3 linked regions of the Drosophila melanogaster genome follow. The gene in region 3 interacts genetically with the main gene of each other region. Each region holds a gene or a part of one and is shown on either strand. Other genes may lie near its edges. The genes, in order: Taf4, Dsor1 and Ras85D.

Evidence for each region.
Region 1: of Ras85D (region 3) and Taf4, changing one suppresses a phenotype caused by changing the other (phenotypic suppression), as found in Drosophila melanogaster (3 studies listed by BioGRID).
Region 2: of Ras85D (region 3) and Dsor1, changing one suppresses a phenotype caused by changing the other (phenotypic suppression), as found in Drosophila melanogaster (4 studies listed by BioGRID).

The regions. Positions count from the first base shown.
Region 1 is NT_037436.4:16,111,401-16,115,152, forward strand, and holds the start of Taf4 (TBP-associated factor 4), read left to right. Parts: upstream 1-1,811; 5' UTR 1,812-1,965; intron 1,966-2,389; exon of another isoform or gene 2,390-2,484; 5' UTR 2,485-2,741; intron 2,742-2,907; exon of another isoform or gene 2,908-2,911; 5' UTR 2,912-3,071; coding exon 3,072-3,443; intron 3,444-3,752. Other genes in the region: Zn72D (Zinc-finger protein at 72D), read right to left, coding at 1-469. UniProt on the Drosophila melanogaster protein: TFIID is a multimeric protein complex that plays a central role in mediating promoter responses to various activators and repressors.
Region 2 is NC_004354.4:9,245,235-9,248,986, forward strand, and holds the start of Dsor1 (downstream of raf1), read left to right. Parts: upstream 1-2,107; 5' UTR 2,108-2,564; coding exon 2,565-2,674; intron 2,675-3,307; coding exon 3,308-3,752. Other genes in the region: Larp7 (La related protein 7), read left to right, coding at 1-489; amx (almondex), read right to left, coding at 973-1,827. UniProt on the Drosophila melanogaster protein: Required downstream of Raf in the sevenless (sev), torso (tor), and Drosophila EGF receptor homolog (DER) signal transduction pathways.
Region 3 is NT_033777.3:9,511,092-9,514,843, forward strand, and holds the start of Ras85D (Ras oncogene at 85D), read right to left. Parts: upstream 1,977-3,752; 5' UTR 1,697-1,976; intron 1,362-1,696; 5' UTR 1,201-1,361; coding exon 1,062-1,200; intron 906-1,061; coding exon 649-905; intron 591-648; coding exon 417-590; 3' UTR 1-416. Other genes in the region: Rlb1, read left to right, coding at 2,272-2,298, 2,356-3,720. UniProt on the Drosophila melanogaster protein: Ras proteins bind GDP/GTP and possess intrinsic GTPase activity. Plays a role in eye development by regulating cell growth, survival of postmitotic ommatidial cells and differentiation of photoreceptor cells.

The sequences.
Region 1 (3,752 bases), on a different chromosome or scaffold from region 3:
CCACATACATGCTTGCCGCATTGTAGAGTGCTGTATCATAGCCACTGTAATTGTTGCCCGCCGGAGGAGCCGAACTAGGGGGCTTGGGACCACCGTTCGACTTGTCCATCTTGCCCTTGACCTGATTCTTGACTGGCGGAGCCGAGTAGTGCGTCTTGCTGACCGAGGCTGTCGAACCGGAGGCGTTGTAGCTGGCCGGCGACTGCTGATAGAATGTCTTGGTGGCGTCGTATTGCATGGCACTTCGATAGTCGCCGTAGCCACCATAACCCCCCGCCCCAGGGCCAGAGGTGGCGCCAGCGCCCGCTCCTGCTGCTCCGCCATAACCACCCTGTCCGGCGGCCACAGCGGCATTCTGATAGGCGGCCGCATTCGCGTAGGTGGCATTGGTTACCGCCGGGTACGAGACTTGGCCCGTATTGTACTGGGTGCCGCCGTAGTTAAACCCGGCGTAGTTGTTGTTGGCCATTGTCGCGGTGCGCTGCAATTACGAAAATCGAATTTGTTTGACAATCTGTCTGCGGTTTACTAGTTTACCATTGGCATTTGCATTTGCATTTTGGACCTGCCCCCATCCCCACCAAGTGCTCTACTTACATTAGCTGTCCTATCCGACTGACTGTCAATATTTATGGGACTTCGAATGCGGATTTATTCGGGAATTTATATGTGCTTTCCGAGTAATAGCCTGTTTATAGCTGTAAAAGCAAAGTGGTCTTAGTCACGTCATGTTGAGAAAGGAGCTCCCCCCACCACTTTCCCATCCGTTTTTCATCTGCTTTTCTCTATCGATTTTTACCCCGCAGCTTTGGACGCACTTTTCGCGTGTCTGGCCCACATGCGAGTGAGCACACGTGGCGATCTCTTTTCCAACGGCATTTTAGCCCTAGTTGTGCATGGTTAAAAAACAGTTAATGCAAATGGCAATTACCTGAAATCGGTTAAATAAAATTTTTCTTCCGTCTCTATGGGCCGGTACTAGTGTGACCGCAGCGTAATCGGATAATCATACTATGTTGAGCCCGACTTGAAACAAATACCACTTTTTATTTTTGGAAGTTTTTGGAAAATATACCATTACACTATATATGTTGCTTATTTAACGGAATTTGTTTAATATTAAAATTGGTATGGTCTATTTTATTAAGACCGCTATTTGTACGATATGTATTTAACTCGCTCTACAGAATTATTTTGCCCGTTGTGCTGAAGTTTAGCATTTCAAAGATACCGAAAACTAACAAAAATACCATCACGTTGGTGGTGGGGCATGTAGTTCGGTATCAAAGTGGAACTATCGATTGTTTGACCGTTACAAAGTACTACTCCTTCGTTTGAATATATATATGATTTAAGTATATGAGCAAATAGCGTTTAAATATAAAAAAATAATAACATTTTTGAGCATTTTCTTCAATTCTGTAATTACCTAACATTCAGCTTTAAACAGTACTCTAATAATAGTTTTAGTAGTTTCTAATTTTTGAGCGTATTCTTCATTTATTCAATTACCTAACATTCAGCTTTAAACAGTACTCTAATAATAGTTCAAAGGATTTAAAATGTATCGTATTCGAATGTATTAAAATAAATTATTTTGATCCTTAAAAATTGTGGCTTATTACCCATATAAAAACTAATGAGCATATAATTAATTTGGTATGCGGCTAAAATCCGATGGCATCAAAATGCCAGCAAACGTTTTTGGTTTTGAAAATGTACGCAACAAGGCTATAAAAAATCGACATGATATCCAAGTCACTACTTCTTTTCTAGTATTTTAATTCGGTATCGCGTTTAACACGACGATATTGTCGCCAACGGTCACACTGCACAACTCGTCCGTACCTCGGCGGTCCGTAAACAATATTTACTCGGTTTTCGGCTAAATCGCCAGAGAAACGCAACGGGAAATCGTTTAAAATGCGCCCCAGTGCACCGAGTTTGAACGCAAAATGAATTGAAGTGAGTGCATCTGCCACAGGGCCCAGAAAATTTCCCCCGACATTGCAGGCTGTACAAAACCTATACTGAAACACACGCACACAGTCGCACAGACACGGACGTGGGTTTATGCCACCACCCGCTGGCCACTAAAGTAGAAATTACTAATACTACGGCTGGCACGATGCTCCATATTGCCACTGGAGACATGTACAAGATGCATTTGTTTTCTTTTTGTTTTAAATATTTTTATGCGGATTTTCGAAAAATATGAATTTTTCCTAATAGAAATCATCAATTATTAAGTGCTCCACTTTCGAGTTGAACTTTTTTTTAAATTTAGTGCATTCACGAATATTGCGCACTCGCCACCCGCATAAACGAGCGGCATTGCCAGATCGTTGGTTACGTGTTTTTCGCACGCTATCTGGCAACGTCCACCAGCCTCGATTTTCGCTTTGCACGCGCATTCGTGAAAATGGCGGCGTTCTGGCACCGTCGCTGCCAAATTTTTTGTACATCAAAATAATCAAAATAAAGCATTCTTCCAGTGCTCAACAATCAGTCCGTGCGAGCACGCGCGAGTGTGTGTGTGCGCAGGAAAACCCGCCGATCGGGAAAAGTGTAGAAAGGCTTAGCGGCGCAAACAAAAGGCAGCGAATTAGCGAGATAACACACACGCGACAACGACTGCAACGGATGCGCCAGGAGAAAGGCCGACGACAGTGACGGCAAAGGCGAGTGCGAGTGAGCCAGCGCAGCACCAATTCAGCGGAGCACCCGCTTTTTTGGCCAAGGTGAATGCGATTACCTGTGCGCGGCATCCAGGTGTACGCAGCATCTGGTTTATGGCGCACGGCCGCCAGGTAGCCGGCGGTCAGGTAGCACCTCCACCGCCTACCTGTTTCTCCACCGCCTCGAGCCGAATCTTGTATAAATACTAAAAGCGCCTCCCCTTGCATTGCAGTTCGCTTCTGGAGCGCACAGCATGCAACAACTCCGCCAACACCAACACAGGATGTGCGCAACTAGTTGATCGGAACAGGATCGCTCGCCCACACCAACACACAGAAGTCAGTGGAATAGGAGAAACACACTCGCCAATAACATAAACACCACACAGCACGATGAACACCAGCCAGACAGCTGCCGGCAATCGCATCACCTTCACCAGCCAGCCGCTGCCCAATGGCACCATCAGCATAGCCGGCAATCCCGGCGCGGTCATCTCCACGGCCCAGCTACCGAATACCACCACCATCAAGACGATCCAGGCGGGGATCGGTGGTCAGCATCAGGGACTTCAGCAGGTGCATCATGTCCAACAGCAGCAGCAGTCGCAACAGCAACAACAGCAGCAACAGCAGACGCAATCCGTAGGTGCCACCCAAACACAAACCCTAGTTATTAAATCCAACCACCATGCTGTCACCCTGCCGGCGGGTCTAGTCTCAAGTGCACCAGCAGGAATCGTAACCATGACCAAGACCATCAATCAGGTATCCATATTAAAGCTAAACCCACTCTTCGGGCGCTAGGCGATCGCAACTCGGGCGTATCACTTCGTCCAAATCTGATCCCCAATCAAAACCCCCTCAATTCCTCGCTCGAATCGGATAGTAGTGGCCGCACACACTTTGGTTGTATACTTTTATTATGCTTTCATCTGTCTACCTCGCTGCCCGAAATTCCCATATCCTTATCCAAATGGGGTTAGTCCCAGGCTTGATAACGTATTTTACGCTTAAAAAATATCCTTAATTCATTAATGTGAAATCTGAAACTTATATCTGAGTTGAAATCTGAAA
Region 2 (3,752 bases), on a different chromosome or scaffold from region 3:
CGCAAGGCGGTGCACAAGATGAACATGAATTTCTACGGCGCCGGCGGCGTGGAATCCACCAAATCCGAAGAACCTTCGCAGGAACGCACGCCGCTCTTTAAATACGAGCCCGGGCTGATTGTGGAGTGCTCCCTGCTAAAACCATGCACCAATGTTAAAGAATTTAAGGCTGAAATGCGCCAATATCCGGATATTAAATATGTGGATATTAAGGAGGGCGACCAAGTGGCCCTACTACGTTTGGGCACGCCTGCCGCAGCCGAGGAACTGCTACGCCAGGTCAACTGCTCCGAGAGGCAGCTGAAAGTGCTCTCTGGCCAGCAGGAGACGCTCTATTGGCGAAAAATCGAGCAGGATCGCGAGGCGAAACTCTCGAAAAAGGTGCGCGTGCAGCAAAAACGCGGTCGCGAGAAAGTGGGCAAAATGCTGGGCAAGCACATTAAGTTTGATGATGGCGATGATGAAGTGCAGGCGGCCGCCATGGACTGAGTCACTTTCAGTTGAGGGGTGAGTTTGGATTTCATTTCAGGAAACTCTATAATATAAGCTATATAAATTTATAAATGTAAGCAAAAGATACATTTAGATCTAGCACAAGATTTCGTAATATTAGAGTAATATTGTAAAAACAAATTGAATTTTTAAAAAAGAAACTTCCTAGTGAAATTGAAATAAATCTTCTGAATGAAACAAACCATTTATTTTTACAAATTTGTCTGATCTTACAGGAACGAGAAAGAGATGGTTATATTTTCTCTTTCACTTATTTATTGATACGATCAAAGAATTGTGCTAGATAAAAGATACAAAAAAGAACTTTTGGCATTATTAATAAAATACATTTCCTAATTAATTATGTACACGTTTTTGAGAAGATCTTGCTATTCCTAATGGTTGCATATTTGCATTCGTTATTATGTACACTGTAATGGAAAAGTTAGCTTATGACCTATTAACCCCTGTAAAACTAAACTATATGTAAAGTGAGCCATCCGCTGGCCCCAAATAATGCATCGAGATGAGCAGGACATCGATGATGGTCCAGACGCCGAGGCCGCCAAAGCTGAACAGCTTTCCAATCCCTTCCTGCCAGTGGCCCAAGTAGAATCGATCGGCTCCAAAGCCCCCTAGCGTGAGGCTAATCAGCAGGGCTGTGCTCCACCGATAGCCCTGCGTCCAGTTGCATCGCAGGTTGCGGGTAAAGGATCGATTGCCGAGGCAGAGCACATCATGGTGCACGGTGCAGTTGGTACGGAATAGCTTATCCGTCGCCGAGTTGCAACTGGAGCGCTGGCCACAGCTCTGTTGCCACATTTCCGTTTGGTAGCAGTATCGGCAATTCATTTGTCGCTGGAAACTCCGTTCGCCCAGGCACTGGACATTGTTGATCACCTCGCAGGTTACATTCAAGTCCCGGCCGTAGATGCATCCATGATTGTAGTTGCAACGGATGCAGGGAAACTGCAGGCGATCACAGGGCGTTTCCTTATCGTACGGGCATAGCATGTTGTTGTTCCCATTGCTGCTACTGCTACTGCTGCTGCTGCTGTAGGCGGTTATGTTGTCCAGGAGTCCACCGGCACCTCCTCCACTCTTGGCCACCATGCTGGACACCAGGGGCGGCACATACACCTCGTTATCGTTGGCATTTCCATTGCCATTGCTCGCATTGCTGTTATCCTTGTGATCGCCTTTTGAGTCCGATAAGTCCATCTGGTTGCCACCGCTGGCCGTTTCGCTGTTCCTGATCCCCGTCAGCACGAAGATCATGATCAGGACAATGGCCGATCGCATGTTGACCACAATGCACTGTCGTTGGAGCCTCATTTTGGTCAGATAGAGCGGGGAATACGCCGGAAATGTTATTGTTTTTCCCTTTAAGAAAATGAGTGGGGTGGGAGAGTGTGACCGTATACGCGTGGCATGAAAATATCAACCGCGAATGCTCAGGAGAAATTTCTTTAAAAAGCGTATCGAATAGTTTATAGATATGTTTTGGCTCAATTAAATTGGCTAAACAGATAAGTATACCTCTCCCCTCATCGTAACAAATTAGTAATATCTAATCCTAATATCCTTTCCATTTAAGTTGTGACCATTGGCCGCTTTAGTCGTAGGAGTGTATTAACGGTATTTGGTAATCGCGACATCTGGCCATACCGCACCGTCTGCGAAAAAAACCCAAAAGTCGCCGATTTTGGCTGATTATTGCAAAAATAATATTAACTATCCGTTTGCTGTTCGTGTGCTCGGTTCGGGTGTGTTAAAGTTAAGCGCAACGCGAGGAATTGGTGCAAATTTACCAGCGGCTGGACACACAAAACGAAACATTCGCACTTGGCCTCCCTTCGCACGCCCCCTCGCCGACGCCCCTCGCCCCTCACACCCTTCAGCCGTTCGTCGGACGCCGCTGTTCGTAGTGCGTTTTGTTGTTGTTTCCACTGGAACACTCTCTATTTGTATTGTTTCATTTATTAGTTTTTTTTTGTTGTTGTTATTGTTGTGTGCTTTAACTTATCGGTAACGGATAACGGTATCGAGAGATATATATTATATATAGTAAGATGTCGAAGAACAAGCTGAATCTGGTGCTGCCGCCGGTAAATACGGAGGCAACTGTTGCCGCCGCCACAGTGGCGCCGACGCCGCCATTCAAAACCCCCTCGGGCACAGAGTAAATATTATACATAATATCCTTAATAACTGACTGGTTTTTAGGCCACCCATTCCAATAACACCGCATCCCCCCTCCCTCGCTGTTTCCCCTTCCACTCCTCGTTTTCGGTTTCCTACTCAGTGGTAAGATAATCCTGTAGTTTTGCGAGTTAGGTGGGTAATTAATATCCATCAATTGATCCAAGGAAATCCCATCCAGCTGGAAAGAAAGAGACAGTCGGAGTGAAAGAGCAGGTACTCTCTCTTTGTTTGTTGGTGTGGGTGGTGCTCCTTTCGTGTGACGCACAGGTACACAGCGAGAAAAAACTTACTGAGTAAATACAGTAAACTGTTTTAGTGCTTTTTGGATTAATTAACGGGATGACAAAGTCAGTTTCGAAGATAAATAGAAATTATAATTTAATAGTCCTACCTTTATCGTATATTTTTTTGTGAGCACCAAAATGTAGGCAACATAACATAACACAATACATATGTAATTTGATGTGTATGTTTGTGTAGTTTTCTTATTATTAGGAGAAACTTCGGCCCGCCCCTCATCCCATCCCCCACTTTCAAATCCCATCCATTGCTTGCACTTTTTACATTTTCGTTTTGGATCGCAAAAATTCATTAAGAGGTTAAATTAAAGCACACACAGTTTGCTGGGGAAGCCCAAGACGAGCATCGATGCGCTGACAGAGACGCTGGAGGGTCTGGACATGGGCGACACGGAACGCAAGCGGATCAAGATGTTCCTCAGCCAGAAGGAGAAGATCGGCGAGCTGTCCGACGAGGATCTGGAGAAGCTGGGCGAGCTCGGATCGGGCAATGGCGGCGTGGTGATGAAGGTCCGGCACACGCACACACACCTGATCATGGCCAGGAAACTGATCCATCTGGAGGTGAAGCCGGCGATCAAGAAACAGATCCTGCGCGAACTGAAAGTCCTGCACGAATGTAATTTCCCGCACATTGTCGGTTTCTACGGCGCCTTCTACAGCGACGGCGAGATCAGTATCTGCATGGAGTATATGGACGGTGGATCACTTGACCTGATCCTCAAGCGGGCCGGTCGAATACCAGAGTCCATTCTC
Region 3 (3,752 bases):
AAACAAACGGATATAGCAGCTGAACCAAGGCAGTTACAACAGTATTCATAGTTTTTATGTAGAGGTACATATTCATTTTCATTTTCGATTTGCTTCGTTCGTTTTTGTTTGCTTGTTATTGTTAATACTCTTAAAAGGGCGCCTCGCAGCCTTTCAAACGACACAAAACACACACATTCACAAAATCATTTCGACGTACATAAAACTCTAGTTACTTAAATTAATTACAATTTCTCTTCTTTTATCTGACAATTGCACCGACCAACACGCTCCCACATGTGTGTGTTTTTCGCATTGTGTGTCCAAAATGGACAAACCATCGAGCCCAGGACGATCGGCGATTCGCCGACGCACATACAGACAAACAGGCGACATTTGAAGAAATAAAAAGTGAATAATAACCAATGCGTGGCCGTTTAGAGCATTTTACATTTAAATCTACGATTCGGCTTGTTCATTTTGCGGCCCCTCCGCCCCTTGTTGTCCTTGTCCTTGCGGATTTCGCGCACCAGTGTGTAAAATGCATCGTCCACGCCCATGCGCGTCTTGGCGGATGTCTCAATGTATGGAATGCCGTACTGTTTGGCCACCTGAGAACAACCATAATTAACGGAATGTTCGCTCGGAACTCTGAAGGCCGGTACTCACCTCTCTTGCCTGCTCGTTGTTAACGTTCCACGAGGCCAGATCACATTTGTTGCCCACCAGCACCATGGGCACCTCTTCGGCATCCTTTACGCGCTTGATCTGCTCACGGTAGGTGCCGATATCCTCGAAGGACTTCGCACTGTTGACGGCAAAGACCAGCAGGAATCCCTCGCCAGTCCGCATATACTGATCCCGCATGGCCGAGTACTCCTCTTGGCCGGCGGTGTCCAGGATGTCCAGCAGGCAGGTCTCTCCATCTGCAGGGGAATATAAAATGCATTTGAATATCGCAACTTCTTAAGGTCTCTTCTAGTATAAACGGGAAACCAAACCAGCGAAAGGGTGCAGAAATCTCTAGAGTATTTGGACCTGTGCAGCCCTAGCTTTGCCAGATCTAAGTACATATAACTCACCGATAACCACTTGCTTTCGGTAAGAGTCCTCGATTGTGGGGTCGTACTCGTCCACGAAATGGTTCTGGATTAGCTGGATGGTGAGCGCGGACTTGCCCACGCCTCCGGCTCCAACGACGACCAGTTTGTATTCCGTCATTTGGCTGTGGCGTCCGTTTTCGATTTGCCGTAGTCAAATGTCACAGTAACAGTCTCTTTCTCGCGATCGATGCTTACTCTCTTGTGAAGCGCCCGCAGATGCAGTCTCTCTCTCCGTACGCTTGTTGCGTGTGTTTGTGTGGGTGACTGTGCGTGTATGGGCTGCAAGTGGAGTAAATTATTAATTAAGATTGATTAAAATAAATTAAACGCATAATTAGGCAGGAATTAATGCACGTCACTGAGTCACTGTGACTAGGCGCTTACTCGCACAAACACACACGCACCACTGCATGCACACAGCCAGACGGGCAACACAAAAAAAAATGGGAAAAAGAGATCAATGACTCAAACTAAAATTAAAACCCATTCGCTCAATGCAAATTAGTTAGTCTCCCCCATAGCCGAGTTGTTAACTAGGTGAATTTGCTAATTCGGCGGCGTTGTTTTTAGCCCTTTTCTTTATTATTTTTCTTTTGCCTGCCGGGGCTGCGGACCTTCTTTGTTGCTGCCTCTTCAGCTAGCTCCTCCTTGTTTTTCCGCTCCGCTCCTCTCTATCAATACTCTGCCTCTCTCTTCTCGCGCGCGGCGCAGTTGCTGGGCACGTTTCACGTCACTTTCGCGGCTAACGGTGCGACAGGCGGTACTCCTCGATGGCACCAATTTAATTGCCGTGCGGTAATTGCAATTAACAGCGCAGGAAAACAATAAATCCGTATGTGAAATGAAGATGAAATCTAGGCTGTACGTAGCTGTGAAGATACTAGAGCTGGCACCAAGCCGATGGCACTATCGATAGCGATGGCTGCATTCTGGCCGGCACCATCGATGGACTTGCAATAGCGATTGCTATATGAAAACTAATCTAAAGAGGTGGATGCACTTCAGTCGACTCTCTATAATTTGCTTAAACTAATAAATGATTTGATCAATACAGCTTTCTGTAAAAACTGGCAGACGCTTTCTGCTTTTAATAATTGTTAATTTAAGTTCAACGGGCTGGCATCACCGTTTCTTAGCACGGACTCAAGCCTGAGTCTATTATTTCAACCACCACTGTAACGAAAACAGCATGGACAGATTGAAATTCAATAATTTGGTAAATAAACGATTTTATTTAAAATTATAGAGTTTTAATTAAAAAGAACTTTTACAGGTGATATCCAACAAGAAGGTCATTCAAAAGGCACGCGCCCAGACCATCGCCAAAATCGTACAAAAGCTGCGAAAGACAAAAGAGGCTCTGGCCAAAAATCCAGACAGTGAAAAGGAAAAGATTCGTTTACGCAAGAACACAGAATGCCTGGCCCAGTTGAAGGCTCTAAAATATATGGATATGGTACGCCAGTCGCTCCTGCAGGAGGGCACAAATCCCAATGCGGTGATTGCTAACGAGCGCTCCACGCCGGATGAACTGGGCATTGCCATGCTGCGGCTAAACAAATTGATGCACGGACTGGTGGACAAGTTTGTGGAAACCTTGAAGCTGAGCACCACCGATAAGGAGGCCAAGTGGCGTGAGGAGATCCTAGAGACGAGCAAGCGAAGGGCCAAAATAGAACGCACTGAGGAGCGGAAGAGGAAGCGCAAGGAGCTGAAGGAGCAGAAGGCCCAAACCAAAAACCGACTGGAGTGGTTAGAGCAGAACAAAGTGGTGGATGCAGATGTTAATGGAGCAACTGCGGAAACGCCCACTCTTCAAGTCAGCAAAGTAAATGATCAGGAAATACCACAGTCTTTTGCAAAAACTGAAAATTCTCCAGTTCTCAAAGTCAAAAAGGAAAAGACACCTAAAACACCAGCCAAAAAAGAAAGAAACCTTCAGAAAAAACAAGCTTTTGATGAGCAGATCAACCCGGAGATAACTAAGCTCAGTTCCAAAAAGCAGAATTTAAATACAATCAAGGAGAATAATGCAGAGCCACAACTAGAAGGCAGACCGAAAGAATCTAAGCCAAAACCCTTCGAGAAAAAACCAGCCAGAGAGCAGAAGCCTAAGCCACGATTAGAAAGGCAGCCAAGTATCGATGAAGAAGAACCACAACTTGACAATAATCGTCCCACACATGTCGTTGATCCCTTCTTCATTACGGAATCAGGCCAGCCCTACTTGTCCAGCGCCGTGGTTCTTTCCGGGGACAATGACAGCGAAGCTGATGAGGAACAGGCACCGCCGCCAGTCAAAAGGTTCCGCAATGAGGATCGACGGTCGAACACATATCGGGAGAAACCGGAAAGACAGCCAGAGTTCAAAGCGAGAAAGCCAACTGATGATCGTCATCCCTCCTGGCTGGCTAAGCAACAGCAGAAACCAATCATTGGTGATTTTAGAGGCAAGAAGATTACATTCGGCGACGACGGCCAGGCGGCGGAAATTATTGCTCCAAGTATCAATCAATTAACCGCTACTGCTGCTCCTTTGCCCACCGATGGCATGCACCCGTCTTGGGTGGCCAAACAGAAGTTTAAGCCGAAAATTGCCGCGTTTCAGGGCACAAAGATTAAGTTTGACGAAGATTAAAGATGATGTCAATGGTATTTTGTTGTTTTAAT